4 linked regions of the Oryzias latipes genome follow. The protein of the gene in region 2 purifies or fractionates together with the protein of the main gene of each other region. This does not show direct contact. Links are inferred from orthologs where the notes say so. Each region holds a gene or a part of one and is shown on either strand. Other genes may lie near its edges.

Evidence for each region.
Region 1: the proteins of tmem259 (region 2) and rnf185 purify together in Homo sapiens (affinity purification with mass spectrometry; 3 studies listed by BioGRID and IntAct, counting the BioPlex papers as one, with this or other methods). This does not show direct contact. The link is inferred for Oryzias latipes from reciprocal best matches to the Homo sapiens genes TMEM259 and RNF185.
Region 3: the proteins of tmem259 (region 2) and tmub1 purify together in Homo sapiens (affinity purification with mass spectrometry; 3 studies listed by BioGRID, with this or other methods). This does not show direct contact. The link is inferred for Oryzias latipes from reciprocal best matches to the Homo sapiens genes TMEM259 and TMUB1.
Region 4: the proteins of tmem259 (region 2) and srprb purify together in Homo sapiens (affinity purification with mass spectrometry; 3 studies listed by BioGRID and IntAct, counting the BioPlex papers as one, with this or other methods). This does not show direct contact. The link is inferred for Oryzias latipes from reciprocal best matches to the Homo sapiens genes TMEM259 and SRPRB.

The regions. Positions count from the first base shown.
Region 1 is NC_019870.2:13,777,143-13,781,415, forward strand, and holds the start of rnf185 (E3 ubiquitin-protein ligase RNF185), read left to right. Parts: upstream 1-1,468; 5' UTR 1,469-1,542; exon of another isoform or gene 1,543-1,815; 5' UTR 1,816-1,884; coding exon 1,885-2,060; intron 2,061-4,273. UniProt on the Homo sapiens protein: E3 ubiquitin-protein ligase that regulates selective mitochondrial autophagy by mediating 'Lys-63'-linked polyubiquitination of BNIP1.
Region 2 is NC_019862.2:1,620,106-1,624,227, forward strand, and holds the start of tmem259 (membralin), read left to right. Parts: upstream 1-1,311; 5' UTR 1,312-1,731; intron 1,732-3,504; 5' UTR 3,505-3,638; coding exon 3,639-3,842; intron 3,843-4,122. UniProt on the Homo sapiens protein: May have a role in the ERAD pathway required for clearance of misfolded proteins in the endoplasmic reticulum (ER). Promotes survival of motor neurons, probably by protecting against ER stress.
Region 3 is NC_019875.2:10,863,050-10,867,335, forward strand, and holds the start of tmub1 (transmembrane and ubiquitin-like domain-containing protein 1), read right to left. Parts: upstream 2,801-4,286; 5' UTR 2,380-2,800; intron 2,302-2,379; exon of another isoform or gene 2,124-2,301; intron 1,763-2,123; 5' UTR 1,746-1,762; coding exon 1,291-1,745; intron 1-1,290. UniProt on the Homo sapiens protein: Involved in sterol-regulated ubiquitination and degradation of HMG-CoA reductase HMGCR. Involved in positive regulation of AMPA-selective glutamate receptor GRIA2 recycling to the cell surface.
Region 4 is NC_019871.2:13,914,204-13,918,292, reverse strand, and holds the start of srprb (signal recognition particle receptor subunit beta), read right to left. Parts: upstream 2,826-4,089; 5' UTR 2,779-2,825; coding exon 2,613-2,778; intron 2,308-2,612; coding exon 2,213-2,307; intron 2,133-2,212; coding exon 2,055-2,132; intron 1,973-2,054; coding exon 1,890-1,972; intron 718-1,889; coding exon 581-717; intron 1-580. UniProt on the Homo sapiens protein: Component of the signal recognition particle (SRP) complex receptor (SR). Ensures, in conjunction with the SRP complex, the correct targeting of the nascent secretory proteins to the endoplasmic reticulum membrane system.

The sequences.
Region 1 (4,273 bases), on a different chromosome or scaffold from region 2:
TTGATTACCAAATTGAAATATAACTAAAGATGAATAAAAACGTTTTTTTTCCCTTGATGAAAACAGTCAAATTGAGACATAAAGAAAAAACTGTGATAAATTGTGTTTTTATTTTTTAAATATATACAAAAAAATGTTTAAAGTGTACAAAAAAGCTGCTTTATGACTTTGAAAAAATAAATGTAAAAAAAATGTGAATACAAATTTGAATGTAAAGTTTTGTTCAGGTGAAATTAATTGTTTTAGAGCAATACAGATTGATAAAAACTACATTTAAAAACTTTTTCTGTTTCATTCTTGAGTTACACATTACACTACACAAATTTGTCTTTTTTGATTAACAGTTAAAATTGAAACCATGTTTTTTTGCTGTATATTCTAGTAAAAAAACTATCACTGTTGTCATTTTTTCTATATTTCCAGGGGCGCAAAAAGTAGGTATGCAGCACATGATTGGTATGGGGGCGCCGGCCAAAGGGGGCGCCAAACCGATGTTATTACAATTATTTATAGTCCGTATTTTTTAATTTCCCACCTGTTTGTGCACTTATATTTACATGATATGGTCAGTAACAGAAGCACATCGTAACTGATTGGGTGCCCCCACGGCAGTTTTCATAATAAATAAATAAAATCATGCATTAGCAAGACGTTCAATTTATTTTAAACATGAAATAATTGTTGGTTGGCCATATGATTTAGTGGAGAAGAACACAGACAAGAGGTGAAGGAGACAGACGTGAGGTTGGTGATGCATCTGATATACAAGAGAGCAGAAATGACTTCAGGTAGGAATAATTAAACTATTGAAGTCACAAAAACCTAGATGCTCATTCTGGTTTAAGCTTCTGCTGACCACCTGTTCACTTATTTTAGGAAAACAAGTGCAGACATACATGACAAGTCAGTCCCAACAGAGAAGAATAAGGAGAGAGGTTCAGATGATGATGATGATAGAGAGAAAGAGAGACGATCAGCTGATGATGAAGAGGGAGAAGAACAGAGAGGTGCAGAGGAGAGAGCCGGGGCCAGGCTTTACTCAGAAGATCCTTCTGAATGAGCTTCACCACACAAATTTGGGGAATCATTGAGGCAATACACGGTTGTAAATAGCTCACTAAAATATTCTGATACTCCAAGATCAGATAAGAAGTAATGAGATGTACACAGTTAAACAATAAAGGTGTTGTTTAGATAGCTTTAGGAGGGGTGGATGAGATGTTTTTTTAATGTGCATTTATGTCTGTGTGCGTGGGGGGGGGGGGGGGGGGTAATGAGGCCGCATGTGAAATTAGGTAGTTGCGCCCCTGTTTATTTCTTCAAGGTTTTTATTACGTTTATGATTTTTTTTTAAATGTATGCACGCTAAAAACTTCTCGGTTATTTAAAGAAAAGTTTTAAACTTTTTTCTATAAAGTTCGTTTTAAAGAAATTATTAAGGGTTGTTGGCTATTTCGTGAATATTCTGCCCCGCCTTCTTTCTTTTGACCAGGAACTAACTTGTCGCGTGCTTGTGAAGCAGCGGATATGACGTCACATCATGTAAGAATATTTTTCCTAACTCAGAACTTCAACTTATGGTTTGCCGCTGTGATTCAATTTGGACGTAGATATCAGACTGGTTTATAATTTAAACTGTTTTTCTGTAGTACTTTTTATTGTTTGTTTATTTTCGTAGTAAAGTATACGTCAGTGGGTAAAAACCCGTCTTTACGGCTTTGTTTGCTAGCATTAGCCTGGAATTAAACGGACCGAGCGACCAACTGCGAAAATTCATTGAAACTCCGTGACTCATTGTCTTCGTTTGCTATCCAGTGGGGCCTTCATATGTGCGAGTTTTGAGGCAAGTTCGTTAGTGTTGGCTGTGAGGATCCAGATTTGATTATGGCCGCGGCTGCCCCCTCAGCCCCAGCCTCTGGCTCCACGGCTGAAAGCACAACTTCGGGATCGAGCAGCTCGGCCGCAGCGGAGGGAGGCAGCCAGGACAGCACCTTCGAGTGTAACATCTGCCTGGACACCGCGAAAGATGCTGTGATCAGTCTTTGCGGACACCTCTTCTGGTAAGTTACCAGCTATTCTTTACTATGTTTACATGGTTGAAATTCCTCCTAGTATTTGTTTGAGACTGTAGTTCTGCATGTGTAACAAGTAAAATACATGAATGTAAACATCAGTAAAGCAAACACACCAAAAAAAATTCCCCATATAGCTATACAACTGTGTTCTGTTGCCTTTTGGTCTCAAAAGTATAATTAAATTGTAAGGGTTAGGATCGTTAATGTTATCAACAGTCCTTGGGAACCCCCACTTCTTTTGGGTGCCCTCCTCCTGGGCAGGGGTGCCTGGCCCCGCTTTGCCCTCTCCTGGACCTCCCATGGGCTGGGTGGGTGGCTGCCTGGAGCATGGGGTGGGTCTCCCTTGGGTGGGGGGATGCTCAGAAACGAACTCCTGGGTGGTGGGCTGCTCATCTGGGGCTTGGGTGCTCTCCTATTGGGGGGCTATTCTTCTGGTCGGGCTGGGCCTTGCACTCTCTTTTCCCCTTTGCCTCCCTGCTGTCTGGCATTGGGGGGGGGCTGTGGCGATCCTGCTGGCCCTGGCCTGGGTGGCAGATGTGATTGCCCGGCCGGCAGTTTTTCTTTATCTGCTATATCATGCGGGAGTTGGGGGTCCTGACTACCACTGCTGCTTCAGCCGGGGTCTTGGGGTGGGGATGACTGGGCACTCTCTCTCTTTTTTTTTTTACATTCCCTCATCCACCTCAGAAGGACATAAACCTCTCTCTTCTTCCCTCTTCTTCTTTTCTGTCCGGTCCAACAAAAAACGGTTTCAAATATATTTAATATAAATAAAGTTAAGTCTAAATTACCGAAGTGGTATATTAAAATATTCATCTTGTGTGTTAGAAGATTCATAACCCCCTGTTGTACCGTAATGTCTGACACAAGAGGCCTTCAGCTCTCATCTGTTTGCTCAGCTGTTGAACAGGAAAAGTAAAAAAAAAAGGATAGTTAAAACCATATTTTTTTCAAGATAAAAATAATAATTTTTTGCATATTTTGCCAGAGAATCTAATCACATGAGAAATTCTCCAAAAACTGCAGGATGATAAATAAAAGGAACTTGAACATATTGTTTTCCTATTGAGTTATGCGTGCTGATAAGATTGTATTTAAAAGAATGTCAATGTTTTTAAGTACAAGGGAGCCAATTAAACTGTGAATAGAGCTTCGTAGAATAGTTTATGAAGCTTATCTGTGGTTAACTCAGATTTTTGACCTGAAGTTGTTTTGTAACATAAAGAAATCAATAGGTTTGGTCATACGACTGAAGAATTTAGCTAAACGTCATGTTACTACTTGCAGCTAACAAACTGATATTTCAGAAGCATCTCTGAAAGTTGTAGTTCTGGAGTTAGATAACTGGTACATCGCCTGTCCGTCCTGGGGAGGATCCCTCCTTCATGTGGACACCCCTGAGAGTTCTTCTTTTTTTACGGAGTCCGTTTGTTTTAGGAGTTTTTCCTTACCATGAAGGAGGGGTCTGAGGGCAGAGATGCCCTGTTTAGTTTAATCTGTTTAGTTGATTCAGTTTAAAATTTTCCTATTGAATTCAATATATTTTTGATCCTTTTATTTTATGTTTACTTTACAATTACTGGTACGAAGCCCATTGAGATAACTGTTGTTGGGATTTTGGGCTGTACAAATAAAATGTAATTGAATTGAAAGCAACAGGAAGCCTCATTGTAAATCTGCGTACAATACCGAAGTGTAGAGACTCACCAGAAATAGACTTCCAAGTTTAAATCAGGTCCTGGGTGTCTTAAGCTGCATAGAAACTTCTAAAATTCCACTATTTTTTCTCAAATTAATGTTTTTGTGTTTTCTGTAAATAAATTCCATATGTTATTTATCTCAGCGACTTCAGTCTTGTGTCGTGCAGCATTTGGGTAGTGTATAAAAAAGGCAGATCCAATGGAACAATAAAGCTTTAGAAAAAAATATGTGTTATTCTGTTTAATGTTTTTTTGTAAAGGGCCAATTCAGTACCAGGTTGTCTTAAAGTTTAGAGAAAGATCAAAGTCTAAAAGTTACATTTTGAATTTTTATAATTTGAATAATAGCACAATTACATTTCCGTGTGTCCTTTATAAACATTTGGCAAATTACATAAGGGAATTTTAAGTGTAATGCTCTGTACAGATCTTCTTTAATCAGGCTTGTATTATTATTTTAATGAATGAAATGTGATCTCTATTCTTTTAACTTCTATA
Region 2 (4,122 bases):
CATTGACAGCTGTCTGTTTTCAATGAAACCAAGTCTCAAGAGATCAATCTGTATAAATAAAGTTTTAATAATGTAGAATTACTAATTTGGATTTAAAAAAAAGCATCATGCAGACCCTTTCTAAAAAAAAACAATATTAGAATAAGAAGTTTCTTGACCCGATGAACCCGACAGTTGGATGCGTCTCCTGAAGGTGGAGGTTCTTGAAGCTGTTCCTCCACCTCATTCCAGGCTTTCTGGAGGTCTGCAGCTCCTTGAATCTTGTCCTTTTGATGATCCGCTGAAGTCTCTTTGCTGGAATTTTAAATATAAAAATTGAAGGGTTATCTAAAAGGAGCTGCATTACCAGAATGCAGGGTTGAATGTTATCTTGCTGAAGAAATGGCTGAGGTTGTTTGCTAACCATGCCAACTACCCCTGGGCTTACTCAACAATGCCGAAATTCTTTATATGTCCATATTGAGTGGTTTTCAATATGTTCAGTTCAAACCGTAGGTCGTGTCGCCATCCCATAATGATTTCAAAACATGTTATAGTCCAAAGCCTTATGAGCATTTTACGTTTGAATGGTGTCTAGCTAAAATTATGTTGAAGTTATAATGGTTGAAAGAAGCAAATGTTTTCAAGGATTCCACATGTATTTAAATGGAGCCAGAAATCATGGACTATCTTGAAGAGTTCAAAGATTCATAGGACCTAAAGTCATAGCTGGAAGGAATAAGCTGAACATTGTAATAGTTGAGTGGTTAAAATAGGTGAAAAATTGTAGAAGGAGTTAAGTGCAGAAAAACGGCAGAATATGCTATGAAAAAGAAACAGTGGTTTACAGCATTCAACCAAATAAATCAAGAGAAACAAGAAAACAATTATGGAAGCGACTCTGTAGCATAAATAAAAATTAAAGTCAATACCAGAAAAGTCAATACTAGAATACCATTTTCAAAATGAATTTTTGCATTTCTATTAATCCATTTTGTCAAATTAGACATTTCTAAATGAATTTTGTTAAACATTTACCAGAGAACGTTTTGAGAATGAAATGTCAAATACCATTTTCATTATCATTTTAATTAAGTGACAGAATGAACGGTGTTGAAGAAGAAAATGAAAAAGCATTTTGGTGGATTGCTTTTTCATTTTCGTTTTGAGTCAAAAAATGCAGCTTCATTTTGAAAATGAAAAAGCATTTCTAGTTTTGACTTTTATTTTTAATTATGCTACAGAATCGCTTCCATAAACAATGGGTTGAATGCTGTTGTTTTTTTGTGTGGTTTTTTTGTGCCATGAATCATCAGTCAAAGACGAGGAAAAAGTCTTTGCAGACAAAATGCAGGAAAGCGAAAAACAACTCCTGTCAGACAGCGCGCAGGTCGAAGGCTGAGCGTCCGACATCCGTACTTCCGCTCTATCCGTGGTTTTGATAACAGCATCCGTTAGCTCGGTCATTTAACGCCGACAGGTCATTTTTGCCTATTAGAAAGTTACACCTTTCTGAAGTTTACTTCAACATTTTGAGTTTCCAGCCTATGTAAACTTTGACGTAGAAAACGTGAGTTTAATGCGAGTTCCGCAGGTTAACTGGGGTTAGCTGCTAGCTTGTGTAGCCTGTCTTTCGTCGTCTTCGCGGAGGTCCGCTTCGAGCTGCTGGGCTTCAGCCTTATGGCCTGATCCAAACGCCGAGAAGAGCTGGTTTACGTTGACACGGACTCGATAATTCGGAGTCATTGGCTGGTAAGTCCGCTGGAGGAGTCTCAGCTGCGGGGCAAGAGTAAAGGCAGCAAGGCCCGAGAGAGACGGCGCCCGAGACTGTTGACCACAACACGTCAGCTGATCGATGCGCCACGAGAGCACAACATGCTGATCAGCACAACAGCAGGTCTGGGCTGACGGTTCTGGTTGGTACTGTAGTTGGGACTGATTCAGGTTCAGAACATACGGACAGGTGGAGGAGGAACGCCTTCCCAGGTCACGTGAGCTCACAGGAAGTTTGGAAGTGAAGTTGGTGAACCGTCTTTATTCAGGACTCACTGATGTTTGAATTACCGACCGACCGACGCCTTCAAGTTAGGACCAAAAAGACAGGTCCAGTTCTTGGTCATCTGCTTAAACGTGATGTTATTGAAAGCATCAGAATGACCAAAGTCAACAAAATAAAGCAATAAAAAGTGAAGGCAATGTAATGAGCTCAACAACAGACACTACTGCCCCTGTCTGCCTAAAGCGGTGTCACTAAAAACCTAAAAAAACGTTAAATAACAATCAGCAAAGTCTTCCTAAGGTCTGAGGATTTGACCAAACTATAGCTTGCTTTGCTGCAATTGGGCTCGCACAAAAACCATAACCTTACTGTCACTGTCATGTTGGCCTGTGTGATAAATACGGACCTAAATGTTTACACACATGCTGAAACAATCTCAGCTTGAAGTTTCTAACAAATAGAATTCAGCCCTTTAAGCATTGGAGCTGGATGCCCATCTCCTTTGTAGATGATGGGCATTTAGAGAAAATGTAAGTTATGTTGACCTTTATTTAACTTACACTGTGGCAGTGAAATGGAAATGATGTATGTTTTTTGTTTTCTCTAATTATTCATGTTTTGCAAGTCATATCATCATGCCAGTACTGATCACTACCATTGCGTGTTTTCCTCACATCGTGCAGCCCAGCTGTAATAACAATAGAAATCCATTTCCAATGTAATTTACTGGTTTTATTTCTGACAAGCTGCAGTTTATTATGAAATTACCTTTCATTTTGAAGCATTAGCAAAGTCATTAGCAAAGCAAAAGAAAATACAAAACAAAATAAATAAATAGACTTATTTGAGTAAAATGACATTTTGTCTATTTTTTTCATCATCAATTAAATTACAGTTTTATGTATGTTGTCCAATATTTCCTATGAATATTAATATTGTGAAAAAAGTGGATAGCTTTACTTTGAAAATGAGAACCAACACTTTACTTTGAAGTTTTATTTACTTCAGGTCTCAGTGGTTCATGCAGCTGTGTTCAGTTCATATCATTAAAATCCAACATTATTCTGCATTGAAGAATAACACTCTCTATGACACTCTCATAGATTCATGAAGATCACAAATCAGCGTTGCAAATATTTGTACTAGTACATTCAGGGAAATATATCCGAGTACTTGGATACACTTTACAGCCCTGGTCATTAATGATTTTTCTCAAACATGCCTCATATTTATAGCTCCTCCGAAGCCTTGGCGTAACCCTTGTGCTATCCTAGGCACTTTAATATTGGGAGTTGGGTCATCTGGACCCACTAGACAGTGCTCTGAACCTTTTTTCTTCAATGATTTGTGATCTTCACTGGTGTCCATGGATTACATGAAATCTTTCCACCTTTGTCATGGTAGAGAGAACACGTCAATGGAAGGACGGGGGGTCATCTAAGATGGCACAAGGGTTAACCTGATCTAAGTTCAGTCAACTCCTGATAGATCAGTAATCAAAGTTCTTTGTTTCTTGTCATTTGCAGCTCTCGGTGGAGCTTCCCCTGTTGACTCTACTCCGGCCAGAGCTCCGCCTTCTCTCTGAGGCTGTATTGAGCCACCATGCTCACTTAGAGCCAGCCAGTGGGCCCGTGTCTTGCAACCAGAATCCTCAGTGACCATGTCCGAGAACCAAGCCAATAACGTCCCTCTGAACAACAACATTGGACCCAACAGGATTCGAAACCCCAACATCAACCAGAACCCCCTCATCAATGTCCGCGACCGCCTCTTCCACGCGCTGTTTTTCAAGATGGCTGTTACCTACGCCCGTCTCTTCCCTCCGTCTTTCAGGAGAGTTTTTGAGTTTTTTGTCCTCCTCAAGGTGAGAGAAGCAGAACTGTCTGGCTTTATGGACAGAAACTGACTGGCTAACGAGAAGCATTGCTGAGCTCTTTAACCGCTTTGAATGGAGGGAAACTCTGCTTCCCAAAAACCTCCGTTTTACCAAGACTGTCCATCCGTCTAGGTTTTAGTCTGCAGATCAGCATTCTGTGATGTGTTTCAACTCTGGTATAGTTTCTGAGACTACATGAACATTTGGTTTCAGTCTGAATTTTGGTCGGTTTTATTTGGAGAACAGAGGTTAATGGCATTATTATTAA
Region 3 (4,286 bases), on a different chromosome or scaffold from region 2:
TTCAGCTGCATTTATCCAGCATTCTGTGGTTACGTATAACTGCTGCTATGAACCATGATGATGATGATGAGGAGGAGAAATGTTGCAGACAGAGCTGCAGCTTCAAGATTCCTATTGTATTCCTGAAACATTGAGAAGAACCAGAAAGGCCTTCTTTGCTGGATGCGTGTCCTCCTGTGGGGTCCTCACGATGTTTGCTTCAATTCATGAAGCAAACGTGACCGACAGACGTCCCACATCTTCCTGTCTCAAAGTTTGATGAACCAGATTTCTTCCACACGCCCTCAGCAGCTTCATAATAAAGATCTAAACTGACATACAGAACTGCAGCCGAAGTTTGTGTCCCTGCATGCAGAAATAGCATCATCTGACTCAGAAGTGGGCAAAAACAATCCTGATACGCTGAGGAAGATAATTGCGGAGAATAATTATCATCCCAATGAATGAATGATGGAAACCAGCCTCTTGAGGAAGAAGATGCCCTCTCACACTTAACTGATGAAGGAGGAAGCATGAGACAGAGAGACACTCCTAATGTGTGATATAAAGTATCAGTCTATTGATCTGAATAAAAAAAAACTCTTCATGTTGAGCAATATTCCAATGTTCAATGTTTTATAAAGTATCAGAAATATTTCAGAAGGGTTTTTGATGAGTGAGGATCTGTGGCGGACATTCTTCCCCCACAGGGGTTGGGGGTGCTTCCAGTATTTCCGGGTGCCTCTGACCCCCCCCTGCGCGAATAAGGTGGCAATTCTGTAGTGCAATATAGTATGGTAAAGTGCACCGTATTACAGTAATGCAGTCCTTTGTGTTGTGTTGTACAGTATGGTTCAGTGTATGGGATGGTGAATTAGAGTTTAGTGTTGTAAACTACAGTCCAGTACAATGTATTACAGTTTATTCCAGTGTAGTGTGATGGTATACTAGAATATAAAACAGTGAATACAGTGTTGTACAGTAAGTACAATGTAATGCAATGTAGTACAGTGCTGTACACTGAAGCCTATTTTAGTACTGTGTAGTAAGATGTAGTACAATGAAGTACAGTAAAGGACGGTGAAATACTGTATACTACATAGATAATAGTGTGGTATATTGCAGTACCGAGTACAGACAAGTATGGTGTGATATGGTCCATTGCAGTGCAGTACACTGTGTTAAATTGTACTGCAATGAAGTACGTAAAAGTAGAATAAAGTACGGTGTAGTACAGTGAAGTGTGGTGCAGTGTAATACCATGTAGTGCAGTACAATAAAGTAAACTGATAGATACGATAGAAAAGTTACCGTTTGATGTATCCGATGGTGTCTTGTGGTTTGACTTGAGCCGTTCTCTCTGTGTCGTTCAGAAATTTTAGTCTGACCACCATGTTTCTTGGGGAGGACAATGGCTCCCCCCCTGCTCTGTGTCTGACTCCTCCCCCCACCTCACTACCTTCCTGTGTGGCGGAGGTCGTGGGTGGAGCCTCTGACGGGACGCTGTCATTCACAGAGCTGGCAGCTGAAGATGAGGATGACGTTGGAGAGAAAGACAAGGAGCTGCTGCTGGTGGAGGACAGGGGCGTGTCCTGTGGGGCAGAGACGGTGCCTTCTGTGGGGGTGGGGTCTGTAGAGGCATTGAACAGGTGCTCTGGGGGCTCAGAGGTGTGGGTGGAGATCCATGCCAGCAGCAACACCAACAACACCAGCAGTGAGCCAAAGAGCAGCGTCACCTCATCGCCGACACCTTCGATTAGAGCCATCGCCCACGATGACACACCTGCAAACAGGAGGCGGAGCTTAGCGTCAGCCATCACGAGTTTCATTTGTCATAGAGCACCACCGATAATAACTCTTAGCTTTCCGTGTGAATGTAACCAACTCAGAATTGACCGGACTAACCATAACCAGCCTGATCTTTTGATCTATTTTCAACGTGTTTCCTTTTTATACTTTTACTTGTTCATTTTTTGATTGAATGTATCAAACACAGTTAGCATTTAAGTGCTGCTTCAGTTTACATAGGTATTTATTCAATGTGCCCTAATAAAAGTATTATGAAGAAAAAAAACCCAGGAAACTTTAAAATGCGAGCAGTACAACTATGATGACGTGGTTGAAGAAGCCCTCTCCGCACTCACCTGTTCTTTTTGTAAACAAACTCCCAGTATAACCCACGTGGCATTTTCAAAGTATTCCCGGACCCTGAACCGTTCTAAACTGCCTCACTAAGATGACTGTTACCCAGCCAAACCCTCATTATTTCACTTTTACACTGCGGCCGCACCTGTGATCTTTCCTCGATGTCTGAGCGTTGTCAAACTGAGGTCAGCTCCCCACGCGCCCTGTAATGCCACCTGTTAATCACGTCACGTGACACACAGAAGCACATCTCACCTGGAGGGTGGACGGCCGGACTATGTATGTGCAGATCCAAACATGCAACTCGAACCAAACCATGGTCTCTAGTGTAACCTGGCTTTATCGGAACCTAAGTTCCGAGAAGCTAACTAACAACTCTGACAAGAGAACGAGTTCAGAGCGGGATACGAACAACCTGACCGAACCTTGTTTAGAGCTGGACCCAAACAGAGGCTAAGAGGAAGCCTCGGAACAAACAGACAGACTTGAAACTCACTGATTAAGGTCCAAACGTCATATCATGAGTTGTTAGCCCGTGGGCTTCCAGGCTAATGTTCGCCAGATGGTCACTTCCTGTTCACGCTTCTTCTTCTGGCCTCCCGGTAGAACCAACGCGATGATGGTGGCATGCTGCCATCTGCTGGTACTTGGTGAAACACCACACGTTCAGGCCGTTGATCAGAAATGAATGAGAAACCTTATGGTGGATGAAAGACAGACCAAAGACGTTCGTGGAGTGAGAAGTGGTTGGTGTGAGCAAAGATGCACACAGCTTAAATGGTCGGAGACATTCCCTAAAGGGAACAGTCAAAAAGTGAAAAAACGTAAGCTTTCTCGATCATTACATTCAATTGTTTTATAAAACACATTGTCAATCATATCGTAATGGTGGTTTAAACTCACACGGGGAGAGACTCAATTTGCCTCATAGTTCCTGTATCCTTGAAGTTTCAAAATAGATCTCTTATGTAACGACTAGTTTACTTAATCTGCCTAAAGTCAGCTGCCTAATTCAACCTTTACCTTTTAATACATCATTTCAAGGTGTTATCAGAATCAGAGATACTTTATTGATCCCACACGTGGGAAATTTGTTTGTCACCATAGCAACTGACAGCAGAGGGGAAAAAAGACTAAGAATTAAGTAAAAAAAAAAAAAAAAAAAAAACAAGAACAAGAAAATGTAGCATAAATACAGACATCAAGGTATTATAATTTAAAAAGCTATTTACAGAACAGTGCAAGTAGAAGATGTGCAAAAGAAATGTGCAAAATAGAAAACAACTAAATAAATAGGTAATAAAAGATGTGCAAAGGTTATTTTTTGCATTGTGTGTTGTACAGGGTTATTGCATTGGGTATGAATGACTTTTGGTACTGGGCAGTTTTGGAGCGGAGCTGTCTGAGCCTCCTAGAGAAGGAGCTCCGCTGTTTGTTCAGAAGAGGGTGAAGAGGATGCTCTGGGTTGTCCATGATTGAAAGGAGTCTGTTCAGGGACCTCCTCTCCATCACTGCTTCAAAGGTGTCCTGTTTGCAGCCAATGACAGAACCCGCCTTCCTGATCAGCTTGTTCAGTCTGTTGGTGTCACTGACTGCAATGCTGCTTCCCCAGCAGACCAAGGAGGAGAACAGGGTGCTGGCTACCACAGACTGGTAGAAGATCCCCAGCATCTTGCTGCACACATTAAAGGACCTCAGCTTCCTAAGGAAGTAGAGTCTGCTGCAGGCCTTCTTGTACACAGCAGTGCTGTGGCTCCTCCAGCTCAGTCTGCTGTCGATAGTCACACCCAGATATTTATACTCCTCCACCGCTTCTACATCCTTGCCCATGCAGAGGCGTTGTAAGACAGTCCTTTTCCTCCGGAAGTCGATCACCATTTCCCTGGTCTTGTCCACGTTGAGCAGCAGGTGATTCTCTCCAGCCCACTCCACAAATCCATCCACCAGCCTCCTGTACTCCTCCTCCTGTCCACCGCTTATACACCCCACAACCACAGAGTCATCAGAGAATTTCTGTAGGTGACATGACTCTGAGTTGTGCTAAAAATCTGAGGTGTATAAGGTGAACAGAAATGGAGAGAGCACAGTGCCCTGTGGGGCTCCCACACCACTCAGCACCACGTCAGACAGGACACCGCCCAGTCGGAAAAACTGTGGTTAAT
Region 4 (4,089 bases), on a different chromosome or scaffold from region 2:
ACTGTATATGGAGAACTGGACTGAGCGAGTGTGACATCAGCAATAAAAAATGACTAACCAAATGAAGTCAATTCAGTCGCCATTCTTCCACCACATGTCCGTCACCATGTTGGAGCCAGACGTCCTCAGTAAGCTGTGATTGGTCCGTGTCGGTCCTAGTCTACATTTCTATGGCAACCTATCTCTGCAATCAGGAGTGAGCATGATAGAAGGCCACACCCCTTCCACTGAAAGCAGGTTCAGGAGAGTCTGTCAATCAAATGCTTCGAAGGTTCAACACAAGGCCACCTACTTTTATTGAAGCATCTGATTGGTCAGTTTATAATTTGAATAACTAGTGCTACAGCAAAAATATTAAACATTGTTTTAGGATTAGCAAAAACACGTTAATAAAGGGTAGCAGAGCAAGAATGGTTATTTTGATAAGTAATAGCTGTTAATTTCTCAATAGAAGTCTATAGGATTTCGGCTTTTTGGGACCAGCGGGTACTTTCTATTTGGAGCACAAGCAGCAACTCAGTCCAGTTCTCACATACAGTCAATGGCTTTTACGCAATAAAAAACAAAAAGGATGTTAAACCTTGTTTGTTGCACGCCACCAGGAGAGTTGGGGTGTTTCGGCAGATCACGCTATCGGTCAGCAGGACGTACAGAAACTCGGCTACGTCTCTGACTTCTTTCTGGAAAATGGCGCTGTCCACCACAAACACGATAGCTCTGAGGATAGAAAGGAGGAGTCATTCCAAGTGTCACCATGACGCAAATGCATGTGCTATGAATGCCCAAACTGTAATCATAGAGACAAAATCCCTTTTCTGATTTGGTTCAAAGGCACTTGAGCTGAGTTTCAAACAAGAACTTTACAGTAAAAGGGAAGAACACAAAATCTAAAAGCAGTGCTGGAACAGATCACATTTCTACGGGTTTCGGCTTCACTTCTATTAATTCACACAGATTTTGGAATTTCTGAACACACAAAGCATCAAAAAGATTAGCATCATTTTATCTTAAATACATCCCAGTTTCCATATATTCCAGACAGGAATCTTCATTCTAAATCAGCAAGATTAGAGGTTAATCTCAAAAGTTTCACAATTAGAATCGGTGGCAGAGCCTTAAGACATCATGTTAGTCCAAGAGTTTGGGAGGCAGACGCTGTGTTGAAAACGTACTCGGCCCTGTCTGCACTCTCATCTGCACGTATGTATGTTTAAGGCCCATTCCAATTATCTTCTGATCTATTGTAAACTTCTTCCTTGTGTTTTTTTTTTATTAGGATTATGCTGAAGGAGCAGCAGGAGTTACTTAGAAATTGTGGGCTGGGGCCATTGGCACAGAGTAAGCATGGCCTGACTTCCCATGATCCCTTTCTTTATACGCTCTCCCGCTATCTTAAAACACCAAGCTAACATTAGTGGTGCATCAAAAAAAATATATTTTTTCATCTGCTCCTGATTCACAACGATTTAAATAAAGAAATACTCAGAAATGTAGTTTAGTAGTTTTTTTTTTTAAATGTCCTCCATCAGGAGAAAAATAAATCTACAAGAACATGTTAAAACCCCAATTTTTATTGGAGTGGGTCTTTAATCAGTTGTGGTATATGGTCCCATCAACCAAATCTTCCGCTGGAGGTTTCTAACAATGTTTTGATTTAGAAGTTTTCCTCTCCATACTTGTTCATTTGCGTGCTCAGAAGGGGGGATTACATCAAAAAAATCCTTTAATCTCATAGCCACCTATTATCCTTCAATCTGTCCGAACTGTAATGATCTGGACTGAAGTGAATTATAAGAATAACGGCTTTTATAACTGTTTGTTTACCCTATTAAGTCAACCCTAAGTGTGTTTGACATGAAACAATCCAGCCATTGCGTTTAGCATCTCACCTGGCTGCTGACTTGAACTTCTCCAGGTACTGAGCCCGGAGACTGTCATGACCTGGCAGGTCTATCAGAGTCCAAGTTGTGCCCTGGAATCAGAAGACGACACAATCCGTTGAGAAACCAGCCCACATGGCTTGATATGTTGTTGTTTTGATGTCTTAACCTCACCTTATCACTTTTGGCTTTATAAGGGGCACTGCTGTCAGTGATGGAGGTCTGTGTTCGCTTGAACTTCCCTGATACTAGCTGTGAAAACAGAAAAGCCACCATCAAAACAGTCCCCTCAGGATCACAGCAGGAGCCAGCGGGTCAGAGGTCAAACCCACCCGACTGAACAGGAGGGTCTTCCCGGAGTCACACAGTCCGACCAGCAGCACGGCGCTCCGGACGGTTTTGCTGGTGAGGAAGTACTTCAGAAAAACTGAAGACAAAAAGCAGAGAGTTTTAATGTTTGTTAGTCTGCAAAGTTTGAATGGCTTCCTGTGAGGCGCAACAGACAGCTGCTAGCTTTAGCTTAGCAGCTAGCTTTCTCCATTTTCAATGCGGCTACAACCGTAAAAGCACAATTAAAATTGTTCATAAACACACATTTGAATGCTAGAACCTGACCCCGCGCAGAAACAAACCCCTCAAACTCCCAACAAACTACTTCCATTGAGCCACATGCCTGGCCTAGTAGCATGCTAAGCTAATCGGTTAACGGTAAGAGACTGACGCAAACTTTACCGCAGGTGATGATGATCGCCGCTAAGGCCACGACGACGCTGATCAGAAAAACTGGGTCTTGCTCTTCAACCTGTTTGCGGACATACTCGATGAATTGTTTAACTGTGTTTTCTAGCATCTTCGCGTCCTCTTTTCCTCCCATGTCTCCACCGACGCTGCGTTCCATCAGCCCCGGATCATCTGAAACGGGACACGTTTCCTTAGCCTGTGTTACGCAACGAACACCAGAGGGCGCTGCTCAGCAGCACTCAGGAAAACAGAAGAAAACTGGAGGTTTTTTAGATACACAATATTAAAGAATTTATTTATCATTTCCACCATAGACCTATGTATTTTTGGTTTGTTTGAACTAAATAAAATATTTATTTCCCCCCTAATTTATCAGCTGTTGATCATCCTTATTTGTTTTTATTGTGATTCTTTTTTGATGAGTTTATTTCATGAGTTGTGTTGTTGTTGCTTGTTTTTGTATACCTCCTAGGGAAATCGTTATCTTTTTTTTTACTTTATGGAATATATATGTTTTTTTATTTTATATATATATATATATATATATATATATATATATATATATATATATATATATATATATATATATATATATATATATATATATATATATATATGTGTGTGTGTGTGTGTGTGTGTGTGTGTGTGTGTGTGTGTGTGTGTGTGTGTGTGTGTGTGTGTGTATGTATGTCTTTTTAAACTCAAAATTCAATAAAAATCAACATGTGATTTTAGAAACACATGTTCCCTGTCAATACAATTGATTAAGGGCTTGTCCCTCAAACTTTGGTCCAATTAATCAAAATCATTTTTTGGATAACGAATTCTGATAGCATTTCACTTTAAATACAGCTTGATGCTGGTTTTCAGAAATTCCCCCATAAAGTAATAGAAACAAGATTAGATGGTTAAAAAAGGTCTTGGTTAAAAAAGGACCTTTTTTAACCATCTAATCTTGTTTCTATTACTTTATGGGGGAATTTCTGAAAACCAGCATCAAGCTGTATTTAAAGTGAAATGCTATCAGAATTCGTTATTGCATATAAACACATGGTTGTGAACACATTTTCAGTTTATTCTTATACCGAAGCAGTTCTTGTTTTTGCCCTTTCCAGTTTTTTCAAACCAAAAGTTTACAATGCCCTGTTTAAACTTTTGGTATGCTGCAAAACTTTAAAACAGTACTCTGGGGTTGTGTGCTTCCGCGGTATTGTTTGCGGTTTAAAAAAATGAAATGCATTAAACTTTTCGGAGCATGAACTGCTTCCTGACATGTTTTTCACATTATTTTATATAAAGACTGAACGTTTGTGGCTCTCAATGGAGACCAGATGCGCTTTTTACGCACTCCGTCTAACCCTGGCAGTCAGCGCGCTTTTTACGCACACGGGATATTTGACTCCTTGCTCTCGGCACGATGTCAAACGTCAGAAACCAAACATATTCTATAGGAAGGAAGAGAAAGAGA